Alligator mississippiensis: one gene and its partner. The protein of the gene in region 2 purifies or fractionates together with the protein of the main gene of each other region. This does not show direct contact. Links are inferred from orthologs where the notes say so. Each region holds a gene or a part of one and is shown on either strand. Other genes may lie near its edges.

Evidence for each region.
Region 1: the proteins of POLR3F (region 2) and POLR3GL purify together in Homo sapiens (co-immunoprecipitation; 5 studies listed by BioGRID and IntAct, counting the BioPlex papers as one, with this or other methods). This does not show direct contact. The link is inferred for Alligator mississippiensis from reciprocal best matches to the Homo sapiens genes POLR3F and POLR3GL.

What each region holds. Positions count from the first base shown.
Region 1 is NC_081838.1:17,883,669-17,894,277, forward strand, and holds the start of POLR3GL (DNA-directed RNA polymerase III subunit RPC7-like), read left to right. Parts: upstream 1-6,529; 5' UTR 6,530-6,596; intron 6,597-8,211; exon of another isoform or gene 8,212-8,556; intron 8,557-8,854; 5' UTR 8,855-8,912; coding exon 8,913-9,035; intron 9,036-9,732; coding exon 9,733-9,862; intron 9,863-10,609. UniProt on the Homo sapiens protein: DNA-dependent RNA polymerase catalyzes the transcription of DNA into RNA using the four ribonucleoside triphosphates as substrates. Specific peripheric component of RNA polymerase III which synthesizes small RNAs, such as 5S rRNA and tRNAs.
Region 2 is NC_081824.1:231,046,429-231,056,855, reverse strand, and holds the start of POLR3F (DNA-directed RNA polymerase III subunit RPC6), read left to right. Parts: upstream 1-5,889; 5' UTR 5,890-5,978; coding exon 5,979-6,034; intron 6,035-6,614; coding exon 6,615-6,732; intron 6,733-10,427. Other genes in the region: DZANK1 (double zinc ribbon and ankyrin repeat-containing protein 1), read right to left, coding at 1,131-1,248, 4,464-4,617, 5,393-5,603. UniProt on the Homo sapiens protein: DNA-dependent RNA polymerase catalyzes the transcription of DNA into RNA using the four ribonucleoside triphosphates as substrates.

The DNA.
Region 1 (10,609 bases), on a different chromosome or scaffold from region 2:
TGGAAAATGAAAGGATTTCAGGAAATTGCTCCAAGCTCATGAGGAAAGCCCTGTGGATTTTAGCGGAGAGCTGATCAGATGAGAATCCATGGGAAACGGAATTCATTCAGGCATTTTTTCCCCTGTGATTTTAGATGCAAAGTTTGGGGGTTTCTTTCCTGGTGGGGATAAGAGAATGAGAAGGGGAATATTTTGGTCTGAATTAATAAGGGACTTCCAGCTTTGGCAGGTTACATAACCATCTAAATGAAAATGAATATAACCAATTGAATGGAGCGAGAGAGAGAAATTATACTATCTATACTGTATGCCTACAGTATATCAACTGCATATATTATACATCATATATACACACACACACACATACACACACACTCTGTGTGTGTGTATGTGTATATACTGTGTGTGTGTGTGTGTGTGTGTGTGTGATATATGCAGTTGATATACTGTAGGCATACAGTATAGATGGTATAATTTCTCTCTCTCGGTCCATTCAATTGGTTACATACAGTTATGTACAATTGGTTATATGCAGTTACATAAAATTAGTTATACATACACTATCTATCTATCTATCTATCTATCTATCTATCTATCTATCATTTAAAGGAACTTCTAATACTGAATATTATAGTTGGGAATGCACTGGGGGAGAGGGAGGCACTGGAATTAAGGAATAATTTTCTCCCAGTTCTAATTGTATGAACAGGTGGTTTGAAAGCAATAAAGCATCTAGCAGCAATAAAACATTATTAGATTTCAATATAAAACAGATTTCTGGGTCAGTTGGCAGGGACCAATTAAAATAGTAAGGGACCTGGGCAGGTGAGAGAACAGACCAACACCTGAGTAGACATATAGGCACAGAGAAAATCATTGTGAAGATAATATTGCACATTCATAACCAATAATTAATCACTAATTGCATGCAACCCAAGAACTCCAGCGAGGCAGGTTCGTCTGAAAACCGACAGTGAGTGAGGCATGGGGTTTGGGGATAAACTGACAGTCATTTGGACCGACAGACCAGATCTGGTAATCTTCCCCATCTCCTTATGCATTTTAGCATAAAGGCAGCCCCCAATGCACCAGCCTGCTGAGATGCTCTCAGTTCCAGCAGCAGCTGGGGGAGAGCGGTGAAACGGGCAAAGGAAGATGCACTATATTCTGTAACAGCCCTCTCCTTTTTTCCCTTTTTTTAAAGAGAAGCATCATACCTGGAGCCCTCCGGATCTTGCCTGTCACCTCCTGCCAGCTCCTTGGGGCCACATGCTTCTGCCCCCTCCAGAAAGGAAAGCAGGGACCCGCAGCTCTTTCATGTCTTAAGCTCTTTGCAACACATTCATGCACCATGTGTGTGTGTATGTGGGGTGCGTGTTTGTGTGTGCACACGCAGGTGCTTACATTTAAAAAAAGAAAGAAAAGAAAAAGATCTGTCTCCTTCATCCAGAGACAGGGAATAAATAAATGGGAGGCAAATCATTCAGTCCATCGCAGCCCCTCTGTACAGTTTTGGGTAGCATCGCTTCTGTGTCACACAGCCACACACACACCCCTTCTGGCTGCAGCCCTGCAGATATGTTACTGAGCTCTGGTGTCTCTCAGTTACCATCAGAGACCTCCGGGTTCTTTGCTTAGACAGCTCCGAGCTGCTATTTTTAGCCCCTTTCCCATAGAACAGAAGTAGATATTCCATTAAAATACACCGAGAGATAACACTGCACCAATATACATAGGAATCGGTCCGCCTCCTCCTCACCTCCCCCTCCTCCCTTCCACTGGTTATGAATTATGCTCAGTCCTGGTCAAATCCATCTCTCCAACCCCTCCATGTAGGATGCTATGAATGAGTACAGTGCTCCATACTGTACTATAAGCCTGAACAGTGCAGAGGCCTGCGGTCCCCTGTTTGCCCACAGTCCTGCCCGGCTGAGATTGGAGTCCTGTTGTGCTTGGAGCTGAACACACAGCGAGAGGGTCCCTGCCCCTCCAGAACAGCAGATGGGAGGGGAAACTGAGGCACAGAGATGGGGCATGGCTTGCTGAAGCTCACATAGCAGAGCTCAGCATGTGGCCCCCCGGTGTCCCAAGTCTCAGGACAATATTTTACCTGCTGCCTTCTTCCTCGCACCACTATACGTGACTGACAAGCTGCAGGAAAAATTCTTTTTTGCAAGCTTTTTGGAATTTGGGGGGAATTTTTCCAAATATTCGAGTTAGTCTAATATAAGACATCAGATTTACCCAAAGAACCTTGTCTGCCTGTGTCCTTAAACCAACATGGCTACAATCTACACCCCTGTGACAAGGTGCAGGACATGGGAGCCCTGGGCCCCGGGCCTGCAGGCAGGGCTTAAGATACTCCATTCCTTGCTTCATATGGTCATTTCAGTCTCATCTTCAACCTCATCCTAGGCCTGGGTGGGATGTGCTGCCTGGTGGTTAAATCAGGGCCACTCAGCTCTGCCCTGTACAGGTCCAAGACCCTCCCCTTCCTCCCTGCCTCAGTTTCCCCATCTGTGTAATGAAGGAATTGATGTTGGTCAGCATCTGCAAAGTATCCTGAAACACAGGCACTGCAGCTGTGATTCTCTCCACCTCAATGATTTCCTCCAGCCCTTTCCAAAGCATTGAGTGCATGAAGGGAACAGGTGAGATACAGCCAAGGGTTGGCAGGGTCAGGAGATTTTCAGGCAGATGTGCTGATGGGCATGTGCCTCTGCATCCAGCGGAGCCTGTGACAGGCAGCCTGCACACTTCTTCACACCTGCCTTGCACTGTTGCTATGGTTACCCTGCCTAATTATATTCCCTCCTGCTCTTTGCCCCAAGTTCTCAGCCAACCAGGTGGCAGCGGGGGGAAAAATCCATTTCCTTCCTAATTTGTGAGCCTTTGATTTTAGCCCAACTCTGTGACAGCAGGATTTAAAACAGAGTTACTGTCACTGCGGCATTATCAGTAGTGCTAGGTGCTGTACAGCCCCTGCTTTGTAGTGGGACAGTGATATTGGCTTGGGGTGTGATTTTTTTTTACTGATGCCGCAGTCCTACCCACTAATGTAGATGCGGCTACACTGATATAAAAGTGCTTATTGCACTATGTAGGTGCAATGGCTGAGGAGTGGGTGTCCAGCTGGTGTAAGTGTAGGGGATGCACGAAAGGGCTGCATACCCCTGAATGCAGGAATGTACATGCCCATAGGCACATCCACCTGGGAGGACTTGGCTGGCACTCTTGGACCCCAAAAAGTCTATCAGCGCCAGGCGCACTGTCTTCTCACCGCTGTGTGTGCTGAGCTGGTCTGGCCCACCCCAACCACTGACTGGGACCATGAGTTTAATAAAGCAGCACAAGGGTCTGCAGGACCTAGCTGGGCAATCCCAATCTCCCAGGTTTCAACTCCTGCAGCTCTGAGCCCTCCTGCAGTGGAGATGCTCCAAGGGGCCCCAGTGCTTTTGAAAGTGCATGGGACCAAACCCCTTTGGAAATCCCAGATGACATCTCAAGCAGGGGAGAGAACTGGTCCTTGAGGTGAACCATGAAGCAGGGGAAGCTAGTTGGGGTGGGGGAAAGGGCCACCTATCCCTTCCCTGATCTTTCTTTCTTTCTCTCTTTCTTTCCCATCATCTTTCCCTTCCTTCATCCTCCTCCCTTGGTTGCCTAGGCAACTTCACAGCTGGGCACAGTATCCCAGGGCGACGGTCCTGCTGCTGAGCAAGGATAGATCCCAGCGCCCTGGAAACGGGAGGTGGGAGCGAGGTGCCTCTCTCTCCCTCTTTGCATCCCTGCACAACCCAGATGCAGGTGGTTATTTTGGGGTCGAGTTGGCTTATCCTCTGCACCCCCCCACCCCCAGCTCCTGCATTGCTATTTTTGGGCAGCACCAGGGAATGAGATGAATCACTCCAGTGCACACAGCCGAGGAGCTGCTTGAAAGCATCACGGTGGGGGGGTAGGGGGGAGGCTGGCATTGGGAGGAACCGTGGTGGTGCCTCATTCTGCTCAGAGGGGCTGGGGGCTCTGCCGCCCTAGATAAGGAAGACGTTTCAAGGGACAGAAACCCCCTACCCTGGACCTGATCTGGTGCTTATACCAATACCCACCACCATGGTATCTGTGGTGCTTATACCAATACCCACCAATTTGTGGTGCTTATACCAATACCCACCACCATGGTATCTGGGCACTTTATTGTGATCTCGAATGTATTCACCTTCACCCTCTCTGCACACCAGGGCAGTGCCATCATTCCCCCTATCCCTTTTTGCACAGCAGGGTTAAATGAGGTGTCGAGGCCACGTATTGGCCCTTGGTGTCAGAGCTGGAACTTGATCCCAGTTTTCCTGACCATGAAGCCAGCTTTTCTTTCCCTATTTCCCTACAGCTCCTTCCATTCACTTGGATTGGAAGGACTAGCTTAAATGTAGACAAAACTCTGGGGTTGGAGGTGATATCTTTCATTAGGCCAACTAAATAGTTGCAAAAAAATGTTTTTGCAACTATTTAGTTGGTGTAATAAAAGATATCACCTCTACCCCAAGAGTTTTGTCTGCTTATGTCCTTAGACCAACACGGCTACTCCTGCTACAGCTTAAACATAGTAACTGACCTCTCAGGGCAAGGGTCAAGCAGGAGGTGGTGTTGAGAAAACATCATTAGGACAGAACATCCCCTAACAGCCAGATCCAGGACTTCAGTGCCTTGGGCTGGCAGGCGAAGCAACTAGCTTTGGTGCTTGGAGGAAGCAATAGGAGAAAAGCCTGGCGGAGGAGGGCCTGTAACTACATCTGCACAGCTCCCCTTTGCTTCGGCACTGACCCCAAACACAGCCAATATGTAAAGCGACCTCCTGATGGCTTTGATCTCAGTGCAAAGCTTTGCCACAGACTTCAGCAGAGTCAGGACTTCACCCACAGGCATTTCAAGGGCCGGAGCTCCATGTCACCCCATGACCCTGGTAGGGTCTTGGTGGAAAGGATCAAGGCCGAGTGTACCAGTGTTCCTCTCCTGGTGCTCTCTCCTTGGTGAGCCTATGCCCCCCTCAGCTGCCTGGTGATGGGAAGTTGCAGCGGAGGGAACAGAAGAGGCAGGGGGGAGCTTGGTTATCTGCAGGCAGGAGATAGTTTAGCCTCCCTTTGATTCCCCAGGTAAAAATAGCTGCAGCCTTCCTGGGCTCATCTCCTGCGGTTACCCATTAACCCTTTGCTGGAGCTGGCAGTACACTAACAGGCCGAGGCCTCCTGCTAACTGGACAAGTATATTTGGGGGTGCTGTGCTGGCCAGCAGTGCTCCACACCCCCTGTTCTACCAGCCCTGGGGTCCCTGCATGCACACCTTCATCAATGGCCTTCAATCCTAGCCCCAAGGCCTTTGCAGGCAGGCGGAAGCAAGACAGCAGGGAGCTCAGCAATCAGAGGAAGAGGGGGGAGTGAAATTTCAGCAAAGAACAGGGCATATGGATGTGCCTTCCTGAAACCATCCCTCTCTCTGCTATTTATATCTGTGCAACTGTGAGCAGATCTGGCTCCCAAGATGCGCGTGTGTGAGCGTGCACAGAGGAAGAGGTTCATCCTTATCACTGCTCAATATTAGCAAGAACAGAATAGCCTCCTGCATCAGACCGGAGGCCCCTCCAGCCCAGTTTCCCGTCTCCAAAAGCAGCAAGTAATTAATGCTTTAAAGAATCTGGGAATTAGCATGTGGGTAGCGATACACCTTCAGCCTGACCTTCCCAGCCACCGCTGGTAGGACATGGGTATGTATATCCCCAGCTGCTGGGTGTAATAGCCCCTGATGGACCCGGCATCCATGCATTTGTCCAATTCAGTGGTCCTCATTCTTTTTCAGACTCGAGGCACACCTCAGAAAATGTCAGCTCCGAGTCTTCACTTTATTTTTGACGACAGAAAAATCCTGGAGCAATTCTTCTGTTGCAAAGACCTCAGCAGCTCCGAATGCTCTTTGGTTTCCTCTTGCGAATCGCGCGCACGCACCTAATCGCACTAACGTGGTGCGGCACTCTGCAGCCCCTCCGGGCAGGATCTCCAGGCACCCCACGGCACTGCAGCACCCTGGCTGAGAATCACCAATCCCATCTCACGCGGGATTTGTCCGTCTCGCCCCTACCCTGCAGCCACGAGGGAGCAGTAGGGGTCCATCAGGGTGCAATAGGTGATTCAGGGGGAGTTCCCTTTCCTTGCGGCTGCCCTGGCCTAGACTCAAGAGCAGCTGGTTTCTTCCACTCCACAGCTGGCTTTGCATCCACCTCCCCCCGCAGACCTACATACATCCTTCCCCACAAGCCAGCAGGGGCACATATACAAATACCGCCCCCCATCAAAATCAGCAGGGACTGTGACACGCCCCCAAACCAGCAGCGAGGAAGAGCCCTTCCCCCCTCCCCCCCAACGGGTTCCGCATTTATAGCCCTTTCCCGCGCCGCCGCCCCGCCCTCTCCTGTTACGTCACCCGAATGGCCACGGCGCGCACCAATGAGCGCCCGCCGGCCCGCCCCGGCCCCGCCCCTTGGAACGCGCTGTATCCCGGGCTCGCGGCGGCCACGTGCGGAGCGGGCGGGGCCGGGTCGGGCTGGGCAGGTAACGCGCGGTTCGGTTGGGCCCGGTCCGGCTCGGCGGCCCAATGGCAGCGTCGCACCCCCGCGGCCGGGGCCGGGGCCGGTGCTGGGGCTGGGGCCTGCTCTGTGCAGCCCGCGCTGGGCCCTCCGCGCCCGGGGGCTGCCTCGCTGCTGCCGCCCCGCGGGGGCACTGCGGGTGCGCACCCGGCACGGAGCCTGCCCGGCCTGCGCTGGGATGCCAGCTCTGCCCCAGGGGGCCCTTCTCCGGTTACACACTCACGTTCTCCAGTCGGGACCCAGGAGGGGGGCAGTGGCATAGAGGCCCAGGGAAGGGGGCGCTCTGCATCAGATGGGCAAGTCCTGGGCTTCTGGGCTTTGCTGGTTGCCCCCCTGCCCCTTTCTGCTACACGGGTCAAGGTGATGATGAGGCTCCCCCAGAGGCTGGGGATGGGGACTGGGCTGTGCCAGTGCTCCTAGGCACCAGGCCTGGAGGGGCCTGGCTAGAGGCTTTTGCCCCATTGCTTAGGATCAGACTGATGCTGCCTTGGTGTCAGGAAGGGATTTTACCCACTGGTCAGATTGGAAAAAACGGGGGGGGGGGGGAGAGTTACCTTCCTCCGTAGTGGGGGGTATGGCCTTCTACCTGGGATCCCTGGAGCATATATTGCTGGCAGCTCACAGAAACAGGATGTCAGCGGCCATGGTTCCCTTCTTCCCCCGTGGCAGTTTTGGGTGTGCTGTCTTGTGTCGGGGTGGACAGTAGCCTTACATAACATTTAGATTTCATAGATTTCATAGACATTAGGGCTGGAAGGGACCTCGGAAGATCATCGAGTCCAGCCCCCCGCCCAAAGGGCAGGAAGTCAGCTGTGGTCATAGGATCCCAGCAAGATAAGCATCCAGTTTGCTCTTGAAGGTGTTCAATGAAGGCGCTTGAACGACCTCCGGCGGCAGGCTGTTCCAGACCTTGGGGGCTTGGACAGTAAAGAAATTCTTACTTATGTCCAGCCTGAAACGGTCTTATAGTAGTTTATGACCATTCGACCTAGTCGTCATTCCTTGGGGCGCTCTGGTGAACAAACATTGCCCCAGATACTGGTGGTCACCCCTGATAAACTTGTAGGTGGCCATCAGATCACCCCTGAGCCTGCGCTTTTCCAAGCTAAAGAGTCCTAGGGCTCTCAGCCTGTCATCGTAGGGTCTGCTTCCCTGACCTCTGATCATGTGCGTGGCTCTTCTCTGGACTCTCTCAAGCTTCTCCACATCCTTTTTGAATTGTGGAGCCCAAAACTGGACACAGTACTCCAGCTGCGGCCTCACTAAGGCCGAGTACAAAGGGAGAATGACGTTCTGGGATTTGCTTGAGAAGCATCTATGGACGCAAGCCAGCGTTTTGGTCGCTTTGCTATCTGCAGCATCGCACTGCAGGCTCATGTTCATCTTGTGGTCAATGATGACCCCCAAGTCTCTTTCTTGCATAGTGCTAGCCAACATAGCACTGCCGAGCCTATAAGGATGCTGCGGGTTTTTCTTCCCAAGGTGGAGAACCTTGCATTTATCGGCGTTGAACACCATCAGATTCTCATCCGCCCACTTGCTGAGCCTGTCCAGGTCAGCCTGGATCACCCGCCTGTCTTCTGGTGTGGATGCTTTGCCCCAAAGTTTGGTGTCATCGGCGAACTTGGCCAGTCCGCTTCTGACTCCAGTGTCCACATCATTAATGAAGATGTTGAACAGTATGGGTCCAAGGACAGAGCCTTGGGGGACCCCACTGGTCACAGGACACCACGATGAGTGAATGGATGTGTCTGGGTTGGTTAGGACAGGGTGATCCTGCCCCACTAGGTGCCAGCCCCCCTGCCCTGGGATTATATGACAACCTCCCTGGAGAGAAGTGAAGCATGGGTTGGAGACATCTCACCCTTCCCAGCCTGCCTCATGTGAACAAAGCAGCTCTTGCAGGCCTGGGAGTAGAGGAGCAGGTAGGACCTCCTGGGAAGGGAATTTTCAGCATAGCAGGAGGAGAGTGAGGTGGCATGGAGGAAGCAAGGCTAAAAGGGGGCTTGAAATAGGCTGGTTTGATTCCCTGTGTTTGCATCTTACAGCCTTAAAGGGGAGGATGAGAGATTCCTTGGGGCAATTTATGGCCAACTGTGCACACTAACTGCACGTTACGCCTGGGGTCTCATCTCTTGCCCTGGGGTGTGGGTTTCATGTGGGCAATGGGCCCTAGGAGGGTTCCCATGGGTTGTAAGGGGCTCTCTGTCTCTGCCCTTTCAGGCCTCGGCTGCGTTGGATCCCAGCTCTCTTATGTCTGCTTTGTCTCTGCCAGCGCATCATGGCAGGACGGGGCGGCAGAGGGAGGGGGCGGGGCCAGATGACCTTCAACGTCGAAGCTGTGGGCATCGGGAAGGGAGAATCGCTGCCTCCCTCGACCCTCCAGCCATCACCGCTCTTCCCGGTGAGGTCCCCTTCTGTGCGGGGAGGAACAGCAGGTGGGAGCTGAGGCTGTGGGAACCCTCCAGCCCCTTGTTTTCCCTGCTGAATATGCCAGCGCCATGTTTTGGCTGTGGTGTGTCTTCAGGGGGTAGGACAGACCCAGCAAACTCAGTCCAAGCCCCCAGGATGAAGCAACATTAGAAGTCAGAACATAAACAATACTCACTCTCCTGCAACAGGAGGACACCATCTTCTATGGATATATTTTCCCCCCCTGGAGTATGCCATTTTCCATGGATACTATCACTTATCGGAGAAGCTTAGGGCATTGTAGCCGAAGCACCTGGCTACCCCTTTCACAACTCATGAAATTGCAGGCAGCCTTCTAAGCAGTCTAGGGTAAGACTCGAACTCAGGCCTTCAGAGTAATAGCAAGCTGTTTTAGCCACTCTGCCACTGCATCCCACCATACAGACCTGTGCTTGCTCGCAAATACATGCACACAGCTCTATGGATGTACATATCTGTGCATAAATGGTGGTCTCAAGACAGAATCCTGAATCCTAACCCCCATCTGCAAACTATAGAGAGTTTTAAGAGCCTAGTTTAAATTTCCCCCTATAAGGATGGATTTTGTAGGAGCACTGTGGCTATTAGAGTCCCAACCATGACCTATTTTATCAGTGAATAACCGTGTCCCTCACTTCTGGTCCCTGCAGCCCATGGAGTACAGGCCAGTGCCTCTGCAGACAGGTGAGGAGGTGGAGTACATGCTGGCATTAAAGCAAGAGCTGAGAGGAGCCATGAAGAACCTGCCATATTTTGTTAAGCCGGCTGCCCCCAAGAAAGGTACTGGTGACAATTCTCATTTAGATGGGGGTAGCTCATCTAAGGGGGCAGACTGCATGTTTGCTGTGGAGTAAATTCACTTCATCGTAGGAATAGAGCAGGCTTGAAATCTTAAGTTATGCTGAAGTCCATTTCTGGTCCAGAAGGCAGTGGTGTCCAGCAGCTAGAGATCAGGGTAGACGTGCAGGACATCTGGGTTTTCTCCCTGCCTCTTCCATTGGGTGACTTCAGGCAAGTCACTTCTGTGCCTCAGTTGTCCCATCTGTGAAACAGGGGTAATGATATGGACACCCCCCCCACTCCCTCCAGAAAGTAATCTGGGAAAGTAAGCATCTCCTGTAGATGCGCCCAGAGAAATTCAACGTATGCAACCAATCTACATACAACGTATACAACTCGCACGCACGCACAACCACATGCAGATAAAAGCAATATCCGTTCTACAAACACACTCCCCACTCAGACAACACACAGCACTACAGGCAACACACAATATAAAAACACACCATGCCCAATGTACTAATGGGAAGAGCTATGGATTTGTTATCACAGCAGCACTTTGGTAGTGCAAAGGGACCGCAAATATAAATTGGAGCCTATTCAATGCATTACATTGTTTGTTTCTCTTTTGCTTTGTTCATCTCTGTTACTTTGTAGGGGTCCGGCTACTCTCAGTTACCGGGAAATTGTTTTGTGATGCTTGCTTACTATCCCATGTGCTTTTGCAGGGCGGCTTTATTAATTAGA
Region 2 (10,427 bases):
TGCAGTCCCACCAGGTCTCCGTTATCCTTATGAAATCATATTTGTTATTGCTTAGCAGAAGGGTCAGTTCCTCCTATTTGTTCCCCATGCTCCTGGCATTCATGCACAGGCAGCTAAGCTTGCCATCAGAAGCCCTAGGCTTGCTTCTTTGTGCATTTACAGGAATCCTGTCCTTGGGCTGGGGTCAGAATAAGTTTGATTGTATTTCCTGACCTGCTGATTATGTGTTTATCACTTCCTGGGCTTGCTCCGATGGTTGTTCGCCCATCCCCCAACAATATTCGTTTAAAGCTCTGTCAAGAAGGACAGCCAATCCAGTTGAAAATAGCTTCTTTCCCATTGGGGTGAGGTGGAGGTCTGTCTCTGAGGTGCGGACTCTGATTGAAGAAGCTGAAGCCTTCGCAGTGGCACCAACACCTCAATCTTCTTTTTACTTCATCAATACATCTCTCCTTCCTGCGCCTGTAACCCATAACAGGAAGGATCGAGGAAAAAAACACCTGTGCCCCCAACCCTCTGAGCCTGGCCCCAGAGCCCTGTAGTCACTTATGACCTGGCTGGGATTGCTCTGAACCATGTCGTTTGTACCCACATAGATGAGGAATGTGAGGTAGTGGTTGAAGGGTCAGATAAGGTTAGGGTTCCTTTCAGCTACATCCCAGATACGGGCCCCTGGGAGGCAGCAGGCCTCATTAAAATGCTCAAAACCCAACAATTATTCATTTTTTATATTTGGTACAAAAAACCTACTCTCAATGTACTGGATAGAGGAAAGAAAAATAGTCTGTCTACACATTTTGCATTTCAAACTGGAATTAATAAATATTACTCATACTTTTAAGTAGTTTTATTTTTAAAAGAAAAAATATTTTAATTAAAAATTGATTTACATGTTAAGACATATGTTTTAATATTTTTTAAATCTTAGGCTTTTATCCATTTGGATCAGAATAGTTCTAATTGGCTCTTCTAACAAAGAAAAAACAGCCACTTTTAGAAAAGTGTAAAAGCAACTAAGACGGACAAACTGGTAAATTAAAATAATTATACTCTGTGGTTAACAGGATTTAATCTCTGTGAAAGTTAATACTGTTATGGCTAAACAAGGACTTACTGTTACTGTAACTTGCCTGTTTGGAGAGGTCCTTCAGGAAATTCTCATCATTATCTTCATCAGAGAACAGTATGTTTGGTGGCTTGTATTCTACCAAAAACATCTTTGTTACAATGGCACTTTCTCTGCAGTCCCTGAAAGTCAGTAAAAAGGTATACCACAAAATTATGTGCAGTAAAAAGTAAATCAACACTGAAAATAGGTCCTGTCTTGAAACTCCTCCTTCTGGACAGCAGACTACTATTTCATCAAACAAGCATAATCCCAGTCAAACAAACCACTGATATTCTAGGTATGATAAAATTCACCAATAAAAACGGATAGAAAAAAAATGGATACATTTAATACCTGTTCCTCTTTCACAAAAATCCTCTTTCACCTGTTCTTTGCTCCCAATATGCCTTACTAGTGATTACTAGGGTGCCATTCATTTGCATGAGAGAAGGCAGCATGCCCCCCATTATTTATAAGGATGTATGGTAGGGGAGTATTTATCTCCTACTTTGTATGACTACTTATAATTAGGGGTCCATAGTGCAGCTCTAAAAGCAGCTTAGGCCAGCACTCTCTGCTGCAACACACCAACATGTCACTGATACCTCAGCCCCGAAACCCAGGGAGTGGAACTTCCAAGTATGCTCCAACATCCACAAATGCTGAACAAGAAACTAGTGGCACCACGGCCAGGTCAATGCTTAAAATTCAAGCGCTAGAATTTTAATATTAGGAGACAGTGGGTGCGTCTACTCAAGATGCTTTATTGCACAGTAGAACAATTTACTGTGCAGCAAGATCCCAGGGGCAGGGATCAATCTCCCGCCCCCTGCTGCCTGGCTGACTGGAAGAAAATTTGTTCCCAGTCAGCCATCTACACATGCCTTACTATGCAGTAACTATGTAATTAATTTGCTACCTGCATTTGCTGTGGAGTAGACCAATGTATTGTGCAATAAGTGTCTGCCTGTGTAGACAGCTGACCAGGATCAAATTTGCTTCCAGTCAGTTGGGCAGCTGGCGGGGAGGAGGAGAGGGGGTGGGAGGAAGGGTGGATAACTCCCTGCCCCAAGGAGTTGCCTGCTGCCAGGGCGGGCTCCAATGGCAGAGCCTGGGCTGCGACAATGGTCCCTTGTCCCAGCAGCATGGAGCTCCTGGCTGTGGCTTCACAATTAGGGGCAGGGGGCTTGGAAAGAGCTGCAGAGGACAGGCAGGTCCCAGCCCCCTGCCCAATCCGTCGGTGGGGCAGCTATCAGTGAGCCTCCAGCTGGGCAAGGATTCCTTGCAAAGCCGGGGGTGGTTGGGAGCTGTCCCAGGCTCCTGACCTCATCTGCCAGTGGGGAAGCTAGCAGTGAGTTCCTGACTGAGTAGGGAATCCCCGCCAAGCTGGGGCTTACTGCTAGCTGCCCCACTGGTGGAACAGGGAGAAATCCCCACTCAGCTGAGGTTCACTGCTAGCTGCCCCACTGGTGGACTGGGGTAGGAGGCTGGGACCTGCCCCTCCCTTGCAGCAATTTCCAAGCCCCCTGCCCGCAGTTGTGGAGCCGGGGCTTCGAGCTCTCTGCTGCTGGGGCAGGGGAACACAGTCCCAAGCCAGGCTTCACCACTGGCGCCTACCCTAGCAGCAGACACCTCCCAGGGGCAAGGAGCAGTCTCCCATCCCCCACCAGGAGACAGCTGTCTCCTGGCCCCATGCTCTCTGCCAGCCCCTGGGCTTGTACCCAGTGGGAGCCTAAAGTTTCCCCTGGCTGCTTCAGGGGGCCAAACCAGGGTGGGAGCATCCTTCTCTGGGCTGCTCTGTTTGGGAGCAAATCTGGTCCCAAATGCCTGCAGATGTAGATGCCTACCCAGGGTGGGTTTCCTCCACAGTAAATTACTGTGGAGTAAACCCATCTAGCATCATTTGCATGTGTAGATGCACCCAGTGTGATCTAGTGAGGCTTGTGGGGCTGGGATTATGAACAACTAGCCTTTAATCTATTACTAATCTAGTAGATGGCCTTGAGCAGTATGCTTTGGGTCTGGACAGACATAACACTAAGAATAGTTTACATGCTGTTTAAACCTGATAGACATACTAGTCTGTTAAACCAATTTTAAACTGCCTGGAATGGTTCAGATGAGTACCTGGAAAATCAAGTACTCTTTTGAACTGGTTCACTGTGAACTGCGTCAATGTTATTTGTGGAGTCCAAGTTGTCCATGATTCAGATTGGTGGGGGTTTCCATGGTCTAAGCACCCAACACTGCATCACTTCTCATCCCCTCTCCCCTCTGCTGTAACTTTCTGCTCTGGTATAGGACCAGAATTCTACTGCCCCTTCTTTTTTCTTTTTGTTGGCACTTTTTACCACATTTATAGGGCACTGCTGGTTTAATGAAAGCTATTTTTCTAGCAACCAGCTGTGCCCTTATCCCCTACTCAGCCATGGTCCTTCATTATGCCCCCTCCGGGAACGCAAAAATATGGATCCAAGCACTCCCCCTCTCCCCAACAAGGCAGGTAAGCACACTGCAGACTTTGGTCAAGTGCACGCTACTGAACTTTCATGTTTAGGAGAAAAGGGAAAGCAAAAAAGTGAACCACAATCACAGGTCATTCACCCCTTAGGATCCTCAAAGCATGGGTGTAAGCACTCTTCTCCCATTACTTGCCCAATGTGAGGCAGGCTGGGCTGAGTGCTCACTCCCATCCTCTGGTGTTGGAGCTACAGTTCTTCAATGGCTAAAAGGTAATCCTTCTACCTGGAAGGCTAGGGCACTGTACATGCCAACATCTCTGACTCATGACAATTGTGAACCAGTTCCCAATCAGTGACATTTTTTTAAATGGTTCAATTGTTACATGCCCACACCCACAAAAACCTGGAAAGACGGACTTCACAGAAACTTGGAAAGACTGCTCCCGTCTCTGGATTGCCATGTGTAAAATGGGAAAAGGAATATTAAACTACCACACAGCATTAGTGGGAAAATGTGTTAGCTCATCTTTTGAAGTGGGCTCATTAAAAGTAAATTATTAAGAAAATAAAAACTATTATACAAATGTATTTATGATGAAAACTTTTCATGGCAAGATTCTATAGTGCCTAGTGAAATTGGGCCCTCATCCATGACTACTGCCCATGGCAAGTAATTAGTAAATACTAATAAATGTGGTGGCAAACTGATATCAATGAAAAGGAATCCATACAAGGTACTTATATTGTAAGCCTTGTGAGGCAAGGAGTATCTTTCATTCTGTATTTGTACAGCATCTGGCACAGGGTAGTCAAGATCTCTGACTGCCATTCTCAGGCACTGCTGCAGTATAAATAACAACAACAACAATATAAGATAGACAGTTGCTACTTACATTGTGACTGCCGTAGCTCTGACCATTATTTTCCCATCAGGCAAGGTGATAGGTCCCTTATACTTAAAAGTGTTATGCTCTCCATAGCCAGATTTTCTAAAGAGCTCTGGTTTACTTCCATCTAAAGTGTAGTATATGGTGACATCAGGGGTATCTGCAAGACACAAATAAGATATGCATTAAAACTATATTGGGACTTTGCAAAAATAAGGAAGGTCTAGTACTGCTGAGGCTTGCATATGCTTAATTACTCATCTAAGCAAAATTAAGCAGGTGTGCAAGTGATTGCAAGGCCTGGACTATATCAATTTTTAAGCCTCACAAAATTCAGCAACAAAATAGTTGGACAATTTCATCACAGGGATTTCCCTTCTCAGAAGATAACTGTAGAGCAGGTGATCTTGTATGAAAACAAACACTGGTTCTAAGTCTTGCACGTTCTAATGTGAACATGGATTATGGTTGAAAAATAGAAACTGGAATTTCAGAACTGGCAGATATGACCTTTGGAGAAGAACTGACGAGAAAGTCCCAGTTTTGAAAAATTGTAGCATACTGCAAAATCATCAAACGCCCAGGTTTTCATACTACACTGTGATTACAGAACAAACACAGCATCACTTCAAATGGAAGGAGGACAAAAGTAGTGGAATTAAAGGCCCTGATCCTGCAAATACAGACACCTATGATTTACCATACAGTTTACACTATGTGAATAGCGCTGTTCACTACAGTCGGACTACCCACGCGTATAAAGCACAGGTGTGTTTGCAGAATTAAGACCCATAAAATTTATGCTGGTCACTTAAGAAAATGGGTACCCGTGAAAAAAGGTGTGAATACAAATGCAGTATCAAAAAGCATGGACATCAATTTGCAGAAGAAGAGGAGAAGAGCTTCCACTATAGACTGAAAGCTGCTGTTTGTACCTGACTTAATTTCAACGAGGGTATTTGTATCTATTTCATGTTTCGCCTTCCGGGCAAGAGGAAGCTGAAGCGGTATAATCTGAGGCACGAGGACGGAACCAGCAGTCATTTTTTCCCTCTGTGTGGACACCTGAAAAACAAAACAGCATATGACTTTTAAAATGAACATGTGAGTGAGGGGGCACGTGTGTGCGCACACCCTTGTGTGCATGTGCATGAACACACCTACATGTATGTGCACACCTCCACACTCCCCTGCACACACATACGCATCCCCCTCACCCCCCGCACGCAGGCGGGCGAGGCAGATAAAAGCGCAGCGAAATGCCACCCCCCGGGCCTTCACCCTCTCCGTCGCCCCCCGTCGCCCCGCCGTTACCACGGACGCTCCCCGCCAAGCCCCGCCCCCCCGAGGCAGCAGCCTCTCATTGGTCCGCCGCGCGCTCCCTCTCAACCGGCGCCCGTGGCGTTCGGTGAGGGTGGAGTTTGTGGTTAGCGTCATCAGTGCGCGCCGCACGGCCCTGGTGTCGCTGCCGGGGAGTTGTGCGTGGGGAGCGCGGAGGCGTCCCTCTCCTCCCCCAGCGCCATGGCCGAGGTCAAGGTGAAGCCCGAGGTCCCGGACCCGCTGGACGTAGAGAACAGGTGCCGGGCGGGCCCTGCGGTGTCTCTGGCGGGGCGGGTACGGGGCCATGGGGGAGCCCCGCACTGGGGTGGCCGTATTTCCATTTTAAAAAAAGAAGGTACCTGTAGGTGGGGGGAGGGATATATGATGGAGGGGGCGATAGTGACATGTCCGTGCCCTGCCCCTGGTCCTCACTTCTAACCCACAGCCCCCTGCCCCACCCCCCCAGCCTTCCTGTGCCCCTCACTCCTGATCTGCAGCTCCCTGCCCTCCCACCCCAGGCCTGCTGCCCCCAACTCCCTTGCCCTGCTGCAGCCCCAGTGCTAGCAAGCAGGCAGGCACACTCCCCCCCCCCCCCCCCCATCTGCACCCCTGCAGCTGCTGGGGCCCGTGCTCAAAGAACTGGTGACCAGCCTCTACTCAACTTTCCCCGCTGCTGGGACAAGCCGGGGAGAGCAAAATCCCAGACACTTGCTGATATTTAAAAAAACTGCCTAGATAGAGATAGGAGGACCCAAAAACAGGACATGTCCAGGAAATGTCCGTGGTAACGTATGGTAACCCTAACCCACACTGACTCCTCTTCCTCATCCCACTCAGGATCATCGAGCTCTGCCATCAGTTTCCCCACGGCATCACGGATCAGGTGATCCAGAACGAGATGCCCCACACGGACGCCCAGCAGCGGGCCGTGGCCATCAACCGGCTGCTCTCCATGGTAGGGTTGCATCTGCTTGGTGGGGGCACCAGCCCATCCCCTCACAGCTTCCCTGCCTGCACCCTTGCTTCCTAAGCAGGTGTGGCTTTAGGGCTGGGCCTGGCCTGCTCACTTTTTTGGACTGGCTAGAGCAGAAAACGTGTTTTGTTCAGTGTTAGCAGCAGCTTACTGCTATTCTTCTTTAGTGCAGGGATAACACAGTTGGGTCTGTTGGGGCCGAGGGGCTGTGGCCAGCAGCCCGGGCACGTAGGCCGGGGAAGTCGGCACGGCGGACTAGAATTAGGCACTGACGCGTGGAGGTTGATTAAAGATTGTTTTACTTACACTGTAGATGGTCGCAGTGCAGGCAGGAAAACTTGCTTGGTTACAGTTGTAGATAGAAGAAAAGAAAAAAAACTCGAACGATGAGAGCTCTCTGAACCTATACGAGAGTCCGAGCTGTGACTCTCAACGAGCATGCAGGGTAGGGATACGTCAGGGATTGTTCGGTGACGGGGAGAGACTCTTGATGGCTGATCAAACCACCATTCGGTCCGAGATTTACGTAGAAATCCACGAGATAATCGTGGACTCCTTGCCGGAATTCTCTCGGATTTCTCCCGGAATTCTCGGAATCAGGGTTCTCAGGATCCTCCTGAGATTCTCGGAGATCTCCGACTTGGGCGGAAACTGCTCAAGCCTCTTATACGGCTAGCAAGCCAATCGCTAGCCGCCACGTGGAAATAATTTAGAAACAGCCAATAGTGGGACACAAATTTACATACGGGTGGCGGGAACTCCTTTGCACCGGGGTTTTCTCTCTGCAGCTGAGAATTGCACTGTGCAAAGAAAGCTCCCGACGGCGGGAAATAATTCTGCAGTGCCGAAGCGCACACACAATCATTGGGTCATGACAGGGTCGTTAAGCACATTTATTCCCTTGGGAGACTAAGTGGAAGTCAAGATCCACTGACATCAAAGGAAGTTTTGCCACTGGCTTCAGTGGGACCTATATTTCATTCAAATTCTACCAGATTCAGGATTTGAAGGCTGATTTTTATTTAGTTTTGAGCTTCTCTCTGACCTCTTTATCTGCTTTAATTTTAGTTGCATTTGTTATTCTGTAACACCCACATAACCAAGTATAGCTGCACAGGCTCAAATAGCACCAGCCAGTATTATGCCGAAGTGGTGACCCAGGTTCCTTGCATTCCTCCACAGTGAACAGAGCAGCTTCCCTGAGAGCATTTGTGATGGTGAAATCCCATGCCTTGATCTTGTCATAATAATAACAAGACCTTTTGCTAGAAACGTGGCCAGACTTATGGCTCAATGTAGAAAAAGATGTCCACACTAAATATTAGAAGCAAAAGGTCGCTGTTGAATGTATCCTGTACTCATCTTTTTGTTCCAAGGGTCACATGTATGGTGTGTGGGCCGCGCCCCGATCCCACCTTTCTCGCCATGTGCGGCGGTGATTCCGATCTCATTCCCGTCGCCATGTGCGAGCCGGGGGCAAGCCGGGCCCGTCTTTGTTGCACACGGGCTGTGGCCGGCAGCCCAGGCACGCGGGGCTGGAGAGAACCGCAGGGCGGTTTAGCGCACGCGAGTTAGAATTAGTTATGGAGGCATAATGGTTGATCGAAAAGATTGTTTACTTACACCCAAAGATGGTATTGGTGTAGGCTGGATAGGTTTCCAGGCACAGCTTCCGCTTGGATCCTCACTAGAGGAACACCACAAATCGATTGCTCCCACAGAGTTGCTCAGGCTCCGCGGGTCCGGTTCGGTTCCCAGGTCTCCTGGAGCTGTTAAGACTCCGTGGGTTCGAAAATTGGGTTTGGTTAGGTTCGAAAAGTTTCCCCGGAGTTACTTATGCTCCGCGGGTCCGAAGTTACAGGAAAGGGATACGTCTAGGATTGCGCTCAGTGATGGGGAGCGGCGAGAAGCGAAAGCTCCGTAGGCTCGGTTCCATTGCCTCTATTGCCTGCTTAGGGGAGGCGCGTTGGGTCCGCAGCGCTTGGAGATCTTCACACAGAATCTCTCTCATCCTCCCTCCTCCGGCTTGGGCGGAAACTACCCAAGCCTTTTGTACGGCTAGCAAGCCAATCGCTAGCCGCCACGTGTGCCTACATTAGGAATGGGCCAATAATGTGGCACGGATCCTAATACAAATGGCGGGAACTTCTTTACAGCGTGTATCACTATGATGCAAAAGAAATGCACACTGCAAAGAAGATATAATTTGGCGGGAAATCCCCCGTTGCACCAGAGTTCTCTCTTGCAGCAGAGAACTCTACCGTGCAAAGAAAGTGACAAATTGGCGGGAAATAATTTAGCGGTGCCGAAGCGCGCACACAAACAAAAAATCACAACTTTGGGTTGTGACATATGGTAGTACTGTATTCGTGATGTTGTAGCTGTGGTGGTCCAGGAATTGTGAGAGGCAAGAATTTTTTTGGGGGGTGATATGTGATCCTGCACTCTTCTGAGCTTTCACCTGCATAGTGGTGGGCAGGCAACTGATAACAGCATGTTGATGTAATATGCTGTCATCAGGTTGTCCTACCTTTAAAAAAAAAAAAAAAAAAAAAAAGGTACAGTGGACTTCAGGATCAGACCTAGGTAGAGCTTGTTGCAGTAGTCGTTTGAGATAACAAAGGTGATAATGACAAGACCTGTGTGCCAAAGATGAAAGAATGCAATTTGGTCCCTGCTGGTCTTTGGAAGTACTCTGGAGAAGAGCCTAGGGTCCTGAAAACGTTAGTTTCTGTGACAACAGGGGCAAGTACACTCAAATGAGGGGATGTTGGCAATTTTTACCAAAGGCTTTGTGGTAAAAATGGTTTAAATGTTTTTCTATACATCCCATTTGGAAGTGGACTGAGCTTACGAAAGGGCTGGATGAAGCCAGCTGTTTTGTCCACATCTTAAGAAATGCATGCTGGGTGCTGCTATCACTCAACACAAACGCAGCCCTGGCCCAAGCTCTCTACTGGGAAGAGCCTGGCACCACACCCAACCCACAGCAGCCCTTGCCCCGAGCACAGATCCGGGGGGCACACGCTCCCGTGGGGATGAGCACAGTGGCGGGATCCGTCCCCTGCAGCCCCAGGATGAGCCTCTCACAGCTCTGTCCCACACTGCGCTCTACCCTGGCTGGGCAGTGCCTGCCCCACCCTCTCCCTCATCACAGGGGCCTCAATCTGTGCAACCCCCTCACCCCCGCTCATCAACACCCTTCTCACCCTGCAACAAACTTGCCAGCCAGACTCCGCTCTCCAAGCTGGCCATGTGTGTGCTGTGGCCAGTTACACTGATACAATATGGACTGATGTATCGTTTCACCTCTAATCCTCAGTGATCTTTAAGACAAAAAGGAGCAGAGCTGATTAGCCTGCGTCTAGCTGCCACCTTCAGGTCCCAAAGGCAGGACAGTAGCACCTCATAAGCAACAGTTACGAAGGCTGGAGAAATAGCTAGTAGCATTAGCAGGGATGCTTGTCCTTGATATGGAGAGTTTTTTGCACCACATCCTTGTCTGAGACCTTACTGAGTTGGGTTAAAAAAGCCTGGAGTATGTCTGATGATACTGGAAAGAATCTACTACTCTCTTCTTTCCAGGTGATATTTTTGTAAAAAGGAAGGCTAAGAGACTGATAATTGGCAAGATAAAGACAGTTAAGTGTTTAAGGATGGGACAACCCCTATGTGAG